Tamandua tetradactyla: one gene and its partner. The protein of the gene in region 2 purifies or fractionates together with the protein of the main gene of each other region. This does not show direct contact. Links are inferred from orthologs where the notes say so. Each region holds a gene or a part of one and is shown on either strand. Other genes may lie near its edges.

Region 1 (7,488 bases), on a different chromosome or scaffold from region 2:
CTTCCTGGTCTATGCCAGAACCTTAGAAATTCCTGGCCCTATGAACAGCAGAGTGACCCTCATCGCTCCCACTTTAAAAGAGGAGGATCAGAGGGTGGGCCACGGTGGCTCAGTAGGCAGAGTTCTTGCCTGCCAAGCCAGAGACCCGGGTTCAATTCCCAGTGCCTGCCCATGCAAAACACAAAAAAACAATAAAAGATAAGGCTCAGAGCAGAGGCCAGTTACCCAGGCTGGGCGGCAGATGGAAGGATGTCCAAATGCAGCAGTAGCCTGTCTGCTGAGGTCCCCAACCTCCCCTCTGTGGCTTCTCCGGATGTCCAAATGCAGCAGCAGCCTGTCTGCTGAGGTCCCCAACCTCCCCTCTGTGGCTTCTCTGTCAAGAGCCAGAGCCGGGAGACCCCAGCCAGGGACCACTCCAGCAGTCCAGTGAAGCCTGGGGACCCTTTTACTTTTATTTACTTACCCCTGAGCTTTTATTAATGCATAAAATAAATACCCTTTATTACAAAAACAAAAAAACAAAAAAACCCAGTACAGTTAGCAAAAGCTTTAAGCTTTGTGGTATAATAACTTTTGGGGGTGACAGATTTTTCAATATCTTGATGGAGGTGTGTTCACACAGATCAAAACTTATCAAATTGTACTCTCTAACTATGTACCGGCTTATTGTCTTACAATTATATCTCGGCAAAGCGGTAACAAAACAGAAAGAAAAACTAAAGCCTTGTGGAGAAAGGGGGGAAATCTGATCTAGTAATAAAGTCTTTGTCACTGACACCTTCAATAAGGAGAGCTGGCAACAGGCTGACAGCCTCCTTAATTTCAGCTTAGTGAAGAGCATAAACAATATTTTGAGATTCTTGCAACAGCTCTAATGTGACATGAAAATACCTGAGGTTTCTACCCGTTGCAAATCACAGGTCCTGCTTACCCTCCTGTTTTTGTGTGGTGCCTCCATTGGAAGTGGGAGGAAATGCCAAATGTCAGCCAGAGGTTAGTGAAAGAACGATGTGCTCTTCCCCACTCAAGTTCGTGGTCCCTGAGCTGCCTCGGGAGTGGCCAAAAATGGAGCAGACACAAGTCCTTGCCACCTGCAGTGGGCATTCCAGGGAAAAGCAGCGACAAAGCAGAAGAGAGGCATGTGGAGACCCCTGCAGACACCATCAAGGACGCCACCTTGCCTGGTGAAGGCCCACTGCAGGAGTCTGCAGGGGTTCTACCCTGGAACAGCATCCCAGGCAGAGGGAACAGCAAATGCAAAGGCCCAGAGGCAGGAGAGGCCCTGGCCTGTTCCTGGGAATTGAAAGGGGTCCATGAGCTGGACCAGGAGTGAGGAGACCATGGGTTGCACTGGGCATTCACCTTGGAGCCCTAGGGATGAACATAAGGGCAGGCCAGAGTGACCCTGGCTTTGGGGTCTGGTCCCAAGCACTTTCCCTGATGGGGGAATCGAGACAGGAGCAGACTTGTTTGTTAGGGGGAATCAGGTGATGCTAAAAGGGACTGGAGGTGAGAGTGGTCCCCTGAATCAGTTCTCTCCCATCTCCTGGAACTGGACAGTGGTCCTCATGAGCCTTTTAGCTACTGTGTTCTCCGTAGGGAAACCCATCTCCTCTCATGACCCAAGCTCCCCACATGGCACAAGCCAGTGAGGGTACAGGCAGGGCTGGCCCCAGGACCCAGGAAGGACAGGGCCATCTTGGAGTGGGTTGGAGACATGGTGTGGGTGTCGGGCTCTTGGAAAAGACTGAAGTCCAGCTCGCCAGTCATTTGGCCCCCTACTCCAGCCCCCATCTCCTCCTGACTCCCCAGAAGGAGGCAGAGTGGGCAGATGACCACTGGCTGGTTACCTTGGACAGCAGTGAGCAGTTCAAGTAGTTTCAGCCTGCAGCAGCACTGAAGTCAATGACCTCTGAGCTCCCCCTTCCAGAGGCTGTCGGGGTGGAGGGCAGTGGAAAGGGCAAAGGTGGGGGCTGCACAAGACTAGGGGTCATGTTGAAGGGTGGGGCTAAATATTAACCGTGTGACCTTGGGTGTGTTTCCTGACCTCCCTGAGCCTGGATCCACACACAAGAGCTTGCATGGCGAGCTTGCAGGACTTATGTCCATCCCTAGGTTAGGGCTAGGGTCCTTTAGTATAGATAGGATCACCTCCTCTTCCCACCTCCCTCCAGCTAACCTGGCCCACCAGCTTGGTGTCACTGCATGGGGAAGCCACTCTTCCGTTCAGGCCGGTTCTGTCTTGTCCTTCCAGCCCACCTTTCCCAGGACATTTTCCTGTTTGACCCTGGTCATTCGAGCATCCCCGAGGGGAAGAGTCCAATCCTGGGTCCCAGCAAGTCCCTGGCCAGTGGTTGGGTTGAAGATGAAGACCGGAGCTGGGGGATTCCCAGCCTCATGGTGGAATGTGGGGTTTGCCCTCCACCTCCAAGCCTCACCCTCCTGTCATCTCACATGGCCCCAGCTGGCCTGAGACTATGCGCCCCCTCCTGGCCTAAGCTGGGCGGGCACCCCTCTAAGGCCCACTTCCCGGGGCTTCTTTACTACCTCTCTGGCCCAAAGACACCCTTACCCTAGGGGGACAAAACTAGTAGGATAGACTCAGGAGGAATTAAATTTCTTACCCTGGGGTGGGTCCACAGGAATTCATTTTATTTTTTAAATAACTCGCTTCCTTCCTGTGTATGACAGTTTCCACACAAAAATTTTTTTTTGCCATTTTAAAGAAAGGGGAGGAGAGCCTTCGTCCACAACCAGGGTCGCTGGACCCTCCACTGTCTCCTCTCCACTCTCTTCTGTGGTTTCCTTAGCTCTAAAGGGGTTGTAATCAGAGAGGCGTCTGGTCAGGGACCTGCTCCCTGGGAGTGGGGAGTTCACATCACCAGAAGGTACTATGGCCCTCCACACCCCTCCCTGGAGACTCACATCCCTATGGGACGCTCTGCATGAGCACTGTGGGGTATCTGGGGGTGGGACAGAGACTCCTAAACGTAGCAGTGGGATGGAGGTGACTGCAGGGGGAGATGTGGGGGCAGGGGCAGAGGTGTGGCCTGAGTTTGGTTCTTAGAAATGACCAGATCTGGGGGTTACAACTGGGCTGGAGGGCAGGACGGGCAGAGGCCTGTTCACCAGCGTCGAGCGTTTGGGTTGTCTTGGTCCCAGGAGTAAGATTCTTAGTGGGGACAGGAAGGCACAGGGTCATCACTCTCTGAGGTGATCACAGCCCGGCAGGTGCAGCCTCAGGGCAGGGCTGGTGCGATGTCATCATCCCACAGTCAGTGGGTCCTGGCCCTGCCCAAGAGGAGTGGGCGTGCAATGAGTGCACAGAGGGTTGGGAAGCCTCCTGCCAGGCCCTGTGAAACCCTCAGGGCCTGGCTTTGATGCCTCTTCCAGGCAGGCCCCTGGCCTGCTGCTTGAATAGAGGTGATTGCAGCAGGGCACAAATGATGACCCCGTTTTCTGCCTCTTTGAACACTTGGGCACGGGGCTGCAAAGCTCTCCCAGTAATTTCACCAAAACCTCCGGAATGGGAGATACATCTCACAACAGCACAGGGTGGCAGGAGGAGAGAGCCCAGGCAGTACAAAAACAAGTAAGGAGCACTGGGGATAGGCGAGAGGCCCAAGTGAGTTTCCAAAGGGAGGAACAGAGCCAAGCCCTCATGCCTTGGAAACGCGGGGGAGAGCCCGCTCTCGTCCCCTCTTCCCTCTGGATCAGCCCAGGGAGGCTTCTCGGAAAAGGCTCCTCCTTTCCCCACCTTCACACATCGTGCCCTCTCCTGTCACACGGATCACAGTTCCAAGGCCACACCCCAGTAGAGGAACCCTGGCCGTCACTATTCCACGCTCGGAACCCTGTATCCCCTGACTCAGTAAATCATTTACGTTTTTATCATACTGTCAGCTCCAGGGTGCAGGCACATGTCTGTTGCGGTCACCGGCTGTACCGTGGGCACAAAGGCCGGGGAGGGGCAAGTAGGCGCCCAGTGCTGGAACCTGCGGGCGCCCTGGAAACCCCCTTTCCCGCTTGTGGCCACCTGTTGGTGGCAACGGTTTCCACAATACCCGGCCTGGCTCCACGACCGCGCGGCCTTGTCTCCGGCCCGCCACGGGCGCCCGGACCCTGAAGAGGGCGGAGAAAGAGCCGCGGCGCGGAGATGAGCCCGGAATCCCGGCTACCGGACGGCGACCGACCCGGGTCGGAGGAGGGGGCGCGCTATGGCACCTCGGCCCCGAGGTCCACATCCGTAAATGCGCCGCGCGGCCTCAGCACCGAACCTTCAAGGGAAATGCAGACGGAGCGCCCCCGGGTGTAGGTCCGCGCGGGGGGGGAGGCGGAGCACGCAGGACACGGGGCGTGGCGACGCACCCTCGACCCCGCCCCCTGAGTTACGCATGCGCGCCGCGAGCGGGGGAATGGGCGGGGCATACCATATCCCCGCCCCCAATTACCCGGCGTCACCCGCGGCACCAGGCACTGACGTGGCCGCCGTCAGAGCCGCCATCTTGTGGGAGCGAAACCAACGCCTGGCTCGGAGCAGCAGCACCAGCAACAGCAGCAGCCGCCGCGGCCGCCGAGGGGTGAGGGGCAGTGCGGCGGGAGGGCGCGCGAGCAGCTGGGCTGGCCCTGGGGCTCGTGCGTGAGTCCCTGTCCACCCGCGGCGGCGGCGGCGGCGGCGGGACGGGAGGTGGCAAGGCTGAGGCCACTGGGCGGGCGGCGCGGAGCCGGGGCTGGCGCGGAGGGCTCGTCGGGGCCTCCTGAGTCTCCCTCGCTGGCCTCACATCCTGCTAAAGGCAGCAGAGCGTCTTCGCCCGCAGCCGTAGCGGCCTCTCCCTCGCTGGTCCCGAAATCCGGAAATCCGGGCTTTCGCTCTTGGCCTCCTAGGGATGTGGGCTTTTCCTTTAAAAAGCCTTCATTTCCTGCTCCTTTCGAGCCCTCTCCACTTGCGCAGCCGAAAGGTTTGCTTTCTCCTCTGTTCAGAACTGCTCGTTCGGGCGGGAGTCACTGTCGGTAACTGGCGAAGGGAAAGGAAGCCCGAGCCGGAGCCTTTGAGTCATTTGGCTGTGGGAGGGCGGAGGAGGAAGCGGGGTACGTAGGGTTCGAAGTAGGGGGTGTCTCCCACAGGGCGGGTGAACGTTTAGTGAGCTTCCTCCAAGCACCCTCGGGTGCAAACCTCTGAAAAGGGAATTTTGCAAATCTCACTCCCAGGATCAAGAAACCGAGGCTCGGAACAGCTCCGTGACTCGGTCAAGGTCACAAATCTAGGGTTTGAACCCAGGCCTCCTGACTCCAGTTCCTGTTTGCTCTGAAAGTGGGAGTCGGATCTGGAGTTGGCCTGGGTGCTGCTGGGGGAGGGGAGGAATGGCCTGATTGGAGCTGCTTGAGGGCAGCTGCGTTCCCTTGTATTTCCTGATTGAATGCTTGGGTCTTGAAGTCTGTGGACTTCAAGAGAAACCCAGAGTTCCGTCTGAAGATATAATTCGGGTCTATGAACACTTCATAGGAACACCAAGCTTAAAGAACTGCCTTCTAAGTCTGCACTCAAGGCTACTGTGGCCTTTAGAGAACTGATTTATCCTTACTTTAATTCCAGGATTTCCTCCTTGAATGTCACTGGGAATAGATAAGACTCTTTCTTTCCAAGCTGGTGAATTTTTAACCCACATATAAAACAATTTGTTCATAGGATCTAAGCAGTCTTCCTAGCAGAGGTGACTTAATGCTTTCTTGTTGCACAATTCGGGTTGTTCTGGCATTTAGAACGTAATTTTGTTAATAAGGCTTAATTATAAAGTATTTAAACTATTAAGTAATTAATTCAAACAGCACTTCTGAGCTAGGTGGCACTCTCCCCATTTCATCAAAGGGAAAAGGAAGTTGCTGTTTAAATGAACTGAGCAGAATTGCACAAGAACTCATAGCAGGAAATGAAAGGAATTCAGAAGCTTTGGGGTAGTCTCAGAAGTTACTGTTGAGCTGTGTGGTTGGTGTCACTCCTGATGTTGAGAGTTGTCATTTGTAGTTGTGTTTTCAGAACTGGCGGTCAGCAGTTTTTTCTGCTTGCTGTTTTTATCAGAGGTTCTGATGTTTCCTGCAGTATATCTGAAGGAGTGTAAGCTACCACTCGGTCCTTCTGCCTTGATGTCTTCTAGTATTTAACAAAGTGTTACTGCATGTATGGTGTTACCAGTTAATTTGAGTTTTCAGGAATACTGCTGTAAGTAGCTAGAACTGTACGAACTTGAAACCTGTAGCATTAGCTGGGTCGAAAACTAAGAGGAATTAAATGGTTTAAATGCTCATCACAAATCTGGCCGCATTGGTAGAAGTGTATTGTCTTATTAGCATTGAGGTTTTCTGGTGACCTCACATTTGAGGGCATAGGTGGGTCTTGCCCATGAACCTGGGGTAGGGTCCCAAATCCTGGGTGTGCCGCATCATAGGGTGTTGTCTTCAGGAACGTCTCAGTCAAAATAAGTTAGTATCACCCAACCTTAGAAGTATGCTGTTTCTTGTGAGGAGTGTCTGCTGATGTTCAGGATTGCTCTTCCAAACATATTTAAAATGGGTGGTTTGGATAATGGCTGGCTTACATTCTGCCAACTGAAAGGAAGTTAGTAGAAAGCATAGAACTAGTTTTGTGGTCCTTACTGGTCTAGCTTTTAAAAATCACATGTTCTAAGTATTCACTTTACTTCTTGCAAAATATGAAGGGGGTGCTTAGACATCTTCAGCTGCTAATGTCTGTACCAGACTAATTAATGTAAGAGCAGATTGGCTTAGAAAAAGGAGGTACACCCTGGCTTTTTTGCTTTCTGTAAAATTTTTAAATGGCTCATCAGCTGTTAAGGTGCTCTCCAGAGTCAGATGGCCATAGGAGTAAGACTAATCAGGGTAAAAAGTCTGCAAGTTCATATTATAGTATGTTAATTTGATTTGAGTGCGTTTAATCCATTTCTTAGATTTTTCAAATTAATTGTTACCTTGATCTGTGTTAAAATCTGTTTTAAAATCTATGTTAAAATCACAGGTCAGGCTCCTAAAGCTTTGTTTGCACACACCTTCCTGAGGGTTGTGATCGTTTCGCTGTGGAAATGACCAGACCTCAGTATTTGGGGCTTGCCATATTATTCACTGACTGCCCCTGTTCCCACTGTCCCTAATGCAGGCATTCTCCCCTTTGACCTTTTCACTTTAGAATTATTACAAGTAGAAGGGAATAAAATGCTGATGTGTCAGAGGAAGTTGGGAGAGAAACATGAACATTCCTTTCTCTTGGGATTTTAAAATTAAATGAGAACTTACCTTTTTTGAACTGTATCTGCTCCCCATTGACATAGATGTGGCTTCCCACATCATCTGCATTCATTTTAAAAAGAAGATTTTGACCTAATGGTGAGTTGGGTGTGTAACCCTTCCTACTGGAAAGTAAAGGATGGTGAGTGTGAGGGTGGGTGGGGGGTAGGGGATTGAGATTCTGGTTCACAC
Region 2 (7,687 bases):
CCAGAGGTGAGCCCAGGGTCACAGGCATTAGCAGCAAAAGGGGAAGGAATTTGGGATTCTGGAATCCTAAACAGCCACTAACTTCTGCTCTGTTGGCCACTGACATAACACAGTCTTTATGTAGCCAGTTGGATCTGCTTTGGCCATGTTGATTATTAAAAGATTGAAACCCTTTCTTCACAGTCCGTGAATACACCCACCCCCAAAAAACAGACTGACCTCCCAGCCCTCCCAAGTCCCCCCTCCCCAGCTTCCCACAACGACCAGTTAACACCTGAGTCAGCAGAGGGTCTCCAGGACCCTATCCCAGCCTCTCCACCCCTGCACAGAACCACTTTCCACCTTAGTTTTCCTTTTCTGAAAAGTGAGGGAGTGGAACTGACTGAGTTGCATTATGTTTGTAATTATGTTAAATTATTTACGCCTCAAGAAGAGGACAAGACCAGGAAAATAAAAATCCGAAAACAATTCATTTGTTGGCAGAGAAGAGGGGGAAATCTCAATGATGTCTTTCTGGGTCTGTTAAATGGGCGTAATGAGATTAGCTACTTCACAGAGTTGTTTTGAGGATTAAATGTATTCAAATTTGTAAAAGCTTAGAAGAGTGCCTGGCGTAAAGTAAGCAACACATAAGTGTTTACTGAATAAACAAATCATTTAATACTGGCACTAAAATGTTTATTCAATACATTTAAAACTTAAGAAAGGTTCACAACAGAAAGAAAAACAATCGTGATGCTATGAAACACTTACATAACATATACTGTTGTTTAATAATCCAACACTAAAACATCTGGACTCCAGAATTTTACATTGAATTCAGGGAAATGAACACATCAGAATGCATTCCCATTGTAGCTATGATACAATGATTTGCATGATTCCCTTCTAATTAGAAATGTCAAAGATGTATGAGAAATTCAAGTTATGGGTTTCCTATTTTAACCCTGCAACAACATTTAGCCATTTTCTGGCAGGGGAATAAATGTAGCTTTGTGGTGCTAAGACCTAAAGTTTTGTAATCAGAAAACCAGGCCTTATTCAACTTCTGCTTCTCTCTTGACACTATGAGTCAGCCTAACTGCAAGTTTAAAGAGCCATTTCTTCGATGCTTGGTCCTATAGCATCCAACTTTTGTAAACACCTGGAGTGGCCAGGAAATTACTACACCCAGAAGCTAGCTTGATCAAAACTGCTTTTAGTTACTAAGCAACTGAGCTCGAGCTTAATTTAGACAGATGCGATGCACTGCAAAGGGAGACAAAATTGACTATTTTATCTTTCTGTTAGATATTCAGAGAAGGAAACCATCCAACAATAACTCCTTTATCTATTCCTCCCTCTTTATTACTTAACAATAACCTTATAGCCACATTTAAATAGTTACAAGCTTATCCTCAGATAGTAATTTATTAGACCTTCCCTGATGAAGAAAAGACTTAATAGATGTAGTTTAGGCATGGATTTCCACCTTTCCTCTTAAAAGTATATTTCTCTAAAGCTATGAAAAAAACTCATGCCTTGCTTAATGAGAAAAAGAAAGCTATCATTAACACCCTATAGAGTTAAAGGTAAATAAACTTTTTAACCACCATTTTATATTAAGAAACACCCAGTAAGTAATCAGAGACTTCTCCAACAAGCACAGTTTCCCACCGTCAAGGTCGTGAATCAATAAGCCTAAATGTATGTTATACAGCAGGGATCACTGTTCATAAATATTCTGACATCAGGGACAAGCATGCTAAAAACACATTTTCCCAAAAGCCTTAACTACTCATGCTTTTTATAGGAATTCTAAATTGTACTGCATCCTGAGAAGTCAGGCTGGGAGTTCACACAATAAGTTAAAGGATCACCAAACAACACTTACAGGCTGAGTACAAATTCAGGCTAAAAGACTGTGCAAATTCATTTGTGTATATGCTACAAAACATTTAATCCTGAATTAGATTCTTGTTAAAATACGCAGGATGTAAAGGTGGCATCTTTTCACAGTTCACACGGAAGCATTCTTTTCATTCCTTTAAGTTTTAAGTGCACCACCCATAGTTAAAACCCCATTTAACACACCACGGAAGTCTGGGTTATCTCAACTGAAATTGGCAGGCCTGGCTGATAAAGTTAACGGAACTCCGCACTCTGCGGAGAGAAGAAAAGATGATCAAATGCAGCAACGCCTGCGTTACTTCGGAATCCACTTGCATTTAATGCTTTACAGAGGAAGTAAAAAGAACCCAACAGCCCAAGATTAGGAGAAGTAAACGCAGGCGTGGCAGTAGAGCTGGACTGATTCTACCAGGGCGGCTCTGAAGGGCTTCTCAAAATCCAGTGGAAGTCGCGGGGAACCGCGCTCCTGGATCCGAGAAGAGTGTTGCAAATATCTCGAACCCGGAGCGAGGAGAACAAGCCCTAGAACACACGCGGGGCCCCAGGTCCTCCGCGCCTGCCCCAGCCTCGGTGTCATCCCATCGCGGGTCCCGTGGGAGCGGCTGTGTGACCACCTGCCCCGGACCATGCACCTGGCCAACTCCCACCCTCGGCACGTGGCACTTCCTGGTCGGTTCGGGATGCTGGTCCCAGCGCGACCGCCATCCCGGCCAGCCCAGAGCGCACGCAGAGGCTGTGTCGGCGCGGCCCGGCGCGACCCGGGGTCGCGCGAGATGGCCTGGGGCCACCGGACAGGCTGCACCCCAGGGCCCCAGCGCAGCTCCGAGCTTCGGGCAGTCGCGCGCCTCGGCAAAGCTGCGCGCCCAAGTTGTCGGCGCTGAAGGACGTGGGCCCAAAGGCGTGCCCAGGAGGCCCCCGGGGGCCCCGAGGAGGCGCGATCGCGCCAGGCCCCAGCGGCGCTGGCGCCTGCCGCATACGCAGCTGCCAAGGTCCCGTCCAAGTTGGGCGGGGAGCGGCCAGCCGCCCGGGAGGAGGGCCGGAGCGCCAGGGCGGCGGGAACCAGGCTCCCCGGAGCCCCGAGAGCCTGGGGCGCGCTGCGTCTCTTACCTGCCTCGCCAGGGCGGCAGCGGGCACCTGCACGGCCTCCGCGGACTACGGGGCTCGGGCCCAGCCGGCGCAGCTGGAGCGACCGGGGGGGGGGGCGGGTAGCAGAGAAAAAGCAGGGGTGCTGGAAGGGGCCCCGCGCCCTGCGCCGCCCGGAACTGGCCTCCAGGCTGCGCCCCGGCTTCGCAGGGGTGGAGCGAGGCGGTGCCGGGTGCCGGGCGCGTCGTGGCTGCCACTGGCCGCCACGGCGGGGCAGGAAGGCCCCGGCCACTAGGCGTCTCTCCTTGTCCCCGTTTTTTTATTCTCTCTTTTTCCCGGAGTTTCATAACCCGACCCCATCAGCCTAAGGAATGTTCCCTAGCCATTGTTATCGTTTCGGGTTCTCTTGAGTCCCCACGTGCCCGGGCATCGTTCTAGGAGCTTCGCCTACATGATCCATCTGGTCCACTGCAGCTGGTAGCCACTCGAGGCCCTGTCATACAAATAAAGAAATAGCGGCCCAAAAAAGTTGAAATAACTTGCCTGAGGTGATACAATTCAGAAGTAGGAGCTTTCTGGCCTCACCTCTAAACCTTCTTGCAACTCCCTGAACGGCCCACCTTAAAACGCAGGAGACTGGAATTTGTGTTTTGATGTCTCTAAAGCCCGAGCTCAGTATAATTCAGAAATTGGGAGTGAAATATGGAAAATTCTCATCCCACCCGTGGAACGCTCCAAATCCAGCAATCTTTGCCATTTTCAGTACACTTAAAATAGAGTTTTATGAAAAAGAGAACCAGTTGGCTTGAACAGCAGCCCTTTGGGGATATGTTTTTTGAATATAGGCCAGCCCCTAGCTTATTACACAGTACTGCCTCCTGCCAAGGCTGAAGGAAGCAATCGTCTCCACATACCCCAAATTTCATACCGATGGCACTTCTAACGGGTTTAGTGGATATTACACAGCCCAGACTGTCAGAGATACACAAGGTCTTATTGCACATGGAGCAACATGAAATGAAAAACATAATAATCCAGCCCAAAGTAGACAGACAGGCTGAAATTATCGTCTGGAACTCCTTTTTCTGTAATCTATGGTTGCTCAGCCCTCCCTGGACTACATTTTTCTCCCTTGAGCACATCTTTTCCTAATGAGGGAAGAGTCATACAGCCTTGTCACCCTTTCCTTGCTGAAAGAGATGATTGATGTCTTTTGAATCTTATGATACTGACAGATTTTTACAATTAAGCACATGGCCCTCTGAGCAAACAGAACATTGCCTAAGAGGAGTTTGGCAAGTTTAAGACAAGCATGTTATTGAAAGCCTGAAAACCCTCTTTCCTCCCCTTCCTTCTCAAGTTTTATTAGTCACAGATGATTTGATATGTATTATTCACACAAGTGACTATACTCTTGGAGCTTGTCCTTAGAAATTATAACACTTATGGTTGAGAAGCAGCATGCTATAAAATTGCATCCCAAATTCCTAAGTATCATCATTTAAAATAAACATTTGGCACAAACCTACAAACAATAGGTTTTCTATTAAATGTAACTAGAAATAAAATTATTTAAAAGCCCCCCAAATTTAATCTCTGGCTTTCTGACTAGAATAAAATAGAAACATGCTATATGTTGTTTAGAGATGAACTTGAGCTATGGATTGCCAAAGGTAAGTTTTATAGTAGTATGATTCTGTATGTAATTATTTTTATATTCCTCAGGTATTTGCTGGGGATTTTTCCCCCCAATCCTTCACACATTCAAAGATGTCAAAAAAAAGAGTCACTAAGAAATCCTGTTATATATCTAGCTAGATATGCATTTGACTTTTTTATCAGACATATTAAAATCATCTTAATTTTTCTCCTTTTCTCTGAGAATAAAAGTAACAGATGTTCACTGAAAAAAAACTTGGAGATCATAGAAAAACAAAATCACCTATAATATTACACACACACCCATTGTTAATATTTTGATATATTTCTTTTTTATTTTTTATATACATTAATAAAGGCTTATGTAAAATTAACATCATGTTGTACAGTTTAGAATCCTACTTATTTCACTGAATATATGTGTGTGTGTGTGTGTGCGCAATGAGCATTTTTGCCATCATTAAATTTTCTTTAAAAATATAATTTTGAATGGTTGTGGAATATTCCAATCACTTATGTATCTGTTCATCTATTTATCCCTTTTAGAATGTCTTCAGACATTTCTGAAGTTTGGAGATCATGTTGGAACGAGCACTATGGATATCGGTCTTTGTTGAGTCTCTAGGTTCTTTAGGATAGATTCCTGAGTGTGGAAAACTAGATCTACATTCATAAATGTTTTTGAGGTTCTGTGAGTCTTATCTTGCTTGTAAACTTGAAAATGTGATGGATCAATATAACATCTTGCTTTAATCAGCATTTCTTTGATTATCAGTAATGCTGAACACAGTTTGCTTCGTGTTTATTGGTTATTTGTATCATTGAGAATGACCTATTCATGTCTGTTGCCTGTTTTTTTCCCTATGGTAATATTATTGTTCTTCCTATTAATTTGCATTAATGCTTTTAATAAAAACAAAACTACTCTGCAAAGTTTGCATACCGATGTGCTCCCCAAGATTTTCCCTTGTGGTACTTATTCTGTTTCTATACTGTCCAGATGACCTCCGTCCTTTTGGGATGCCCAGCATCCACCATCTTTTCTGATAGTTTCATTTTCTTATAGAGAATTACTTCTTCCCAACTGTGCATATCCTTGGCAGAAAGACAATTTGGGGCTGCACTATCCAAGCCAAAAGGCAGATCTGTCCACTATATTGCCATCACCATCCTATCCCCCTTATAGTCTAGCTCCATGGGCTGACTCTCACAGCGCAAGGGGCCCTGCCAGGTTTGGATTTGGGCTCATGGAGCAAAGGCAGAAGTGGCTGTAGCAGTATTCATTAAAAAAACAAAAACTCTACTATCATAGAATTGAGAGGCACTTACTATAGAAAACACAGGATTAAGAACACAGCCTTTTTAGAAAATAAGAATTAGTAGTTCCTCTAAGTTTGACAAGTCTGAAATGTACTCTACCATGACCTAAGCAGCAACTTTGTCCATAGTACAAAATGTTTCCATGATCACTCATCATCTCATTACAAAGAACCATAAATAGTTTACAGTAGGTTAAAGGTCTGGCTTTTATAATGTCATCTACGTCGCTGCCATCCTCTGGCAATTTGTGCATGAGTAGCTTAAACTTCTTTGCTGCATGAGTTTCTTGCCTTTGAATGATGCAGTAAATAAATGCCATTGGTGGTCATCACTCTGTCCCCTTAGCCCAGAATCCATATTTTGTTCTAGCTAAAGTAGCTGTTCCCTCAGTAGTTACAATGACACAGTTTTCCACAAAACATTGCTTCTATTTTGAAAATCATATACTGTTGGGAATGTTGCTCTCCTTCCACACGCCTTTCCTCTGTGCAGCCCTACCAGAGCTACATACTTTACTGTTTAACCCTAAGCCTTTACTATCTTGACATGGAGTTAATTCAACATTGCAAAAATATACAGTGAACTAACAATCAATAAAGGAGAACAAAAAGAAAGTAATTTATAGTAGAATATCTCTCCAAACCTAACATGCTCAAACAGACCGCTCTAGAAGACATTATGGAGGAATCAGATGTTTGCATGACTTATAATTAATGTGTTTTTATTTGCAAGAAGTATAACAGTTTTCACCTGTTTATTTTCTACACCACTGCTTTAAGTAGCAAGTCGCCACCATTTCTCTATACTGACGCTTGAATGTGACAGTTACAACTGCAGACTAAAAAAGATGTCGCCATTCGCTGCATGATTTTCCAAAAATTAACTTTACATGAACAATGCTTAGTAAAGTTCCAAAGTACAATTTTCCCTCGATTTGTAAACTGTTTGTGTTCCCTTAAAATGCAGTGTATATTAAAAATATGCCAAAATATTTGTGGTTTATATGAAAAAGATTGTTAAGTTCTGGGCTCAGAGAATCAGCAGGTTTTTCACTTACATGAATGCCTGGTAAGACCTTTGAAAGTTTTCTGGGACCAGGGACAACTCTTCATTGTTCAGGACGACTGTGTCCCATGCACAGCAGAGCTTCTAGTCTCCCCCTCCACCCCGGCCTCCACCCGCTAAATACTAGTAAGTAGCCTCCAATCATTGTATTGATCAAAAATGTCCTCTAATTTCCAGAAGGTTCCAAGGGGGCAGTATGGCCCCTGTTGATTGCCAGTGCTTGAGTGAAACATAAAAATCCCTCTAGTATTTAATTAAAGCACAATCTAGCATAAATTGGGATATTATAGAAACAGCCATTCTTTCCTCCAACAGTATACACTACACTGTGTAGTTTGTTCTAAAAAACTTTGGATTCTTAAATTTTGCGATTTATTCATCTTTCAAAGTTATTTGTTTGGTCCCATATTGTCTTCCTTGTATTATTTAATTATTTTTACTTCAGCAAGAAAAGCATGAGGGACGGCGTCTATGTCCATCAACATATTTTATTTACACTGAATTTCTTTCTTCCTTTTTAGATAAAAATAAATAACAATTCTAATATTTTTCTCCCCATTCTGCAGAGTATGGCGAAACCAGCTCTTTCCCCCAAGCTGTATAATTTAACACTTGCTCTTAGAAATTCTGATTTACAGGCAACAAACAAATATAAATTCTAACCAAAGGC

Evidence for each region.
Region 1: the proteins of PLD1 (region 2) and ARF1 purify together in Homo sapiens (affinity purification with western blotting; 3 studies listed by BioGRID, with this or other methods). This does not show direct contact. The link is inferred for Tamandua tetradactyla from reciprocal best matches to the Homo sapiens genes PLD1 and ARF1.

Annotation. Positions count from the first base shown.
Region 1 is NC_135346.1:63,009,805-63,017,292, reverse strand, and holds the start of ARF1 (ADP-ribosylation factor 1), read left to right. Parts: upstream 1-4,448; 5' UTR 4,449-4,580; intron 4,581-4,766; exon of another isoform or gene 4,767-4,958; intron 4,959-7,488. UniProt on the Homo sapiens protein: Small GTPase involved in protein trafficking between different compartments. Modulates vesicle budding and uncoating within the Golgi complex. In its GTP-bound form, triggers the recruitment of coatomer proteins to the Golgi membrane.
Region 2 is NC_135331.1:69,252,641-69,260,327, forward strand, and holds the start of PLD1 (phospholipase D1), read right to left. Parts: upstream 3,100-7,687; 5' UTR 2,998-3,099; intron 1-2,997. UniProt on the Homo sapiens protein: Function as phospholipase selective for phosphatidylcholine. Implicated as a critical step in numerous cellular pathways, including signal transduction, membrane trafficking, and the regulation of mitosis.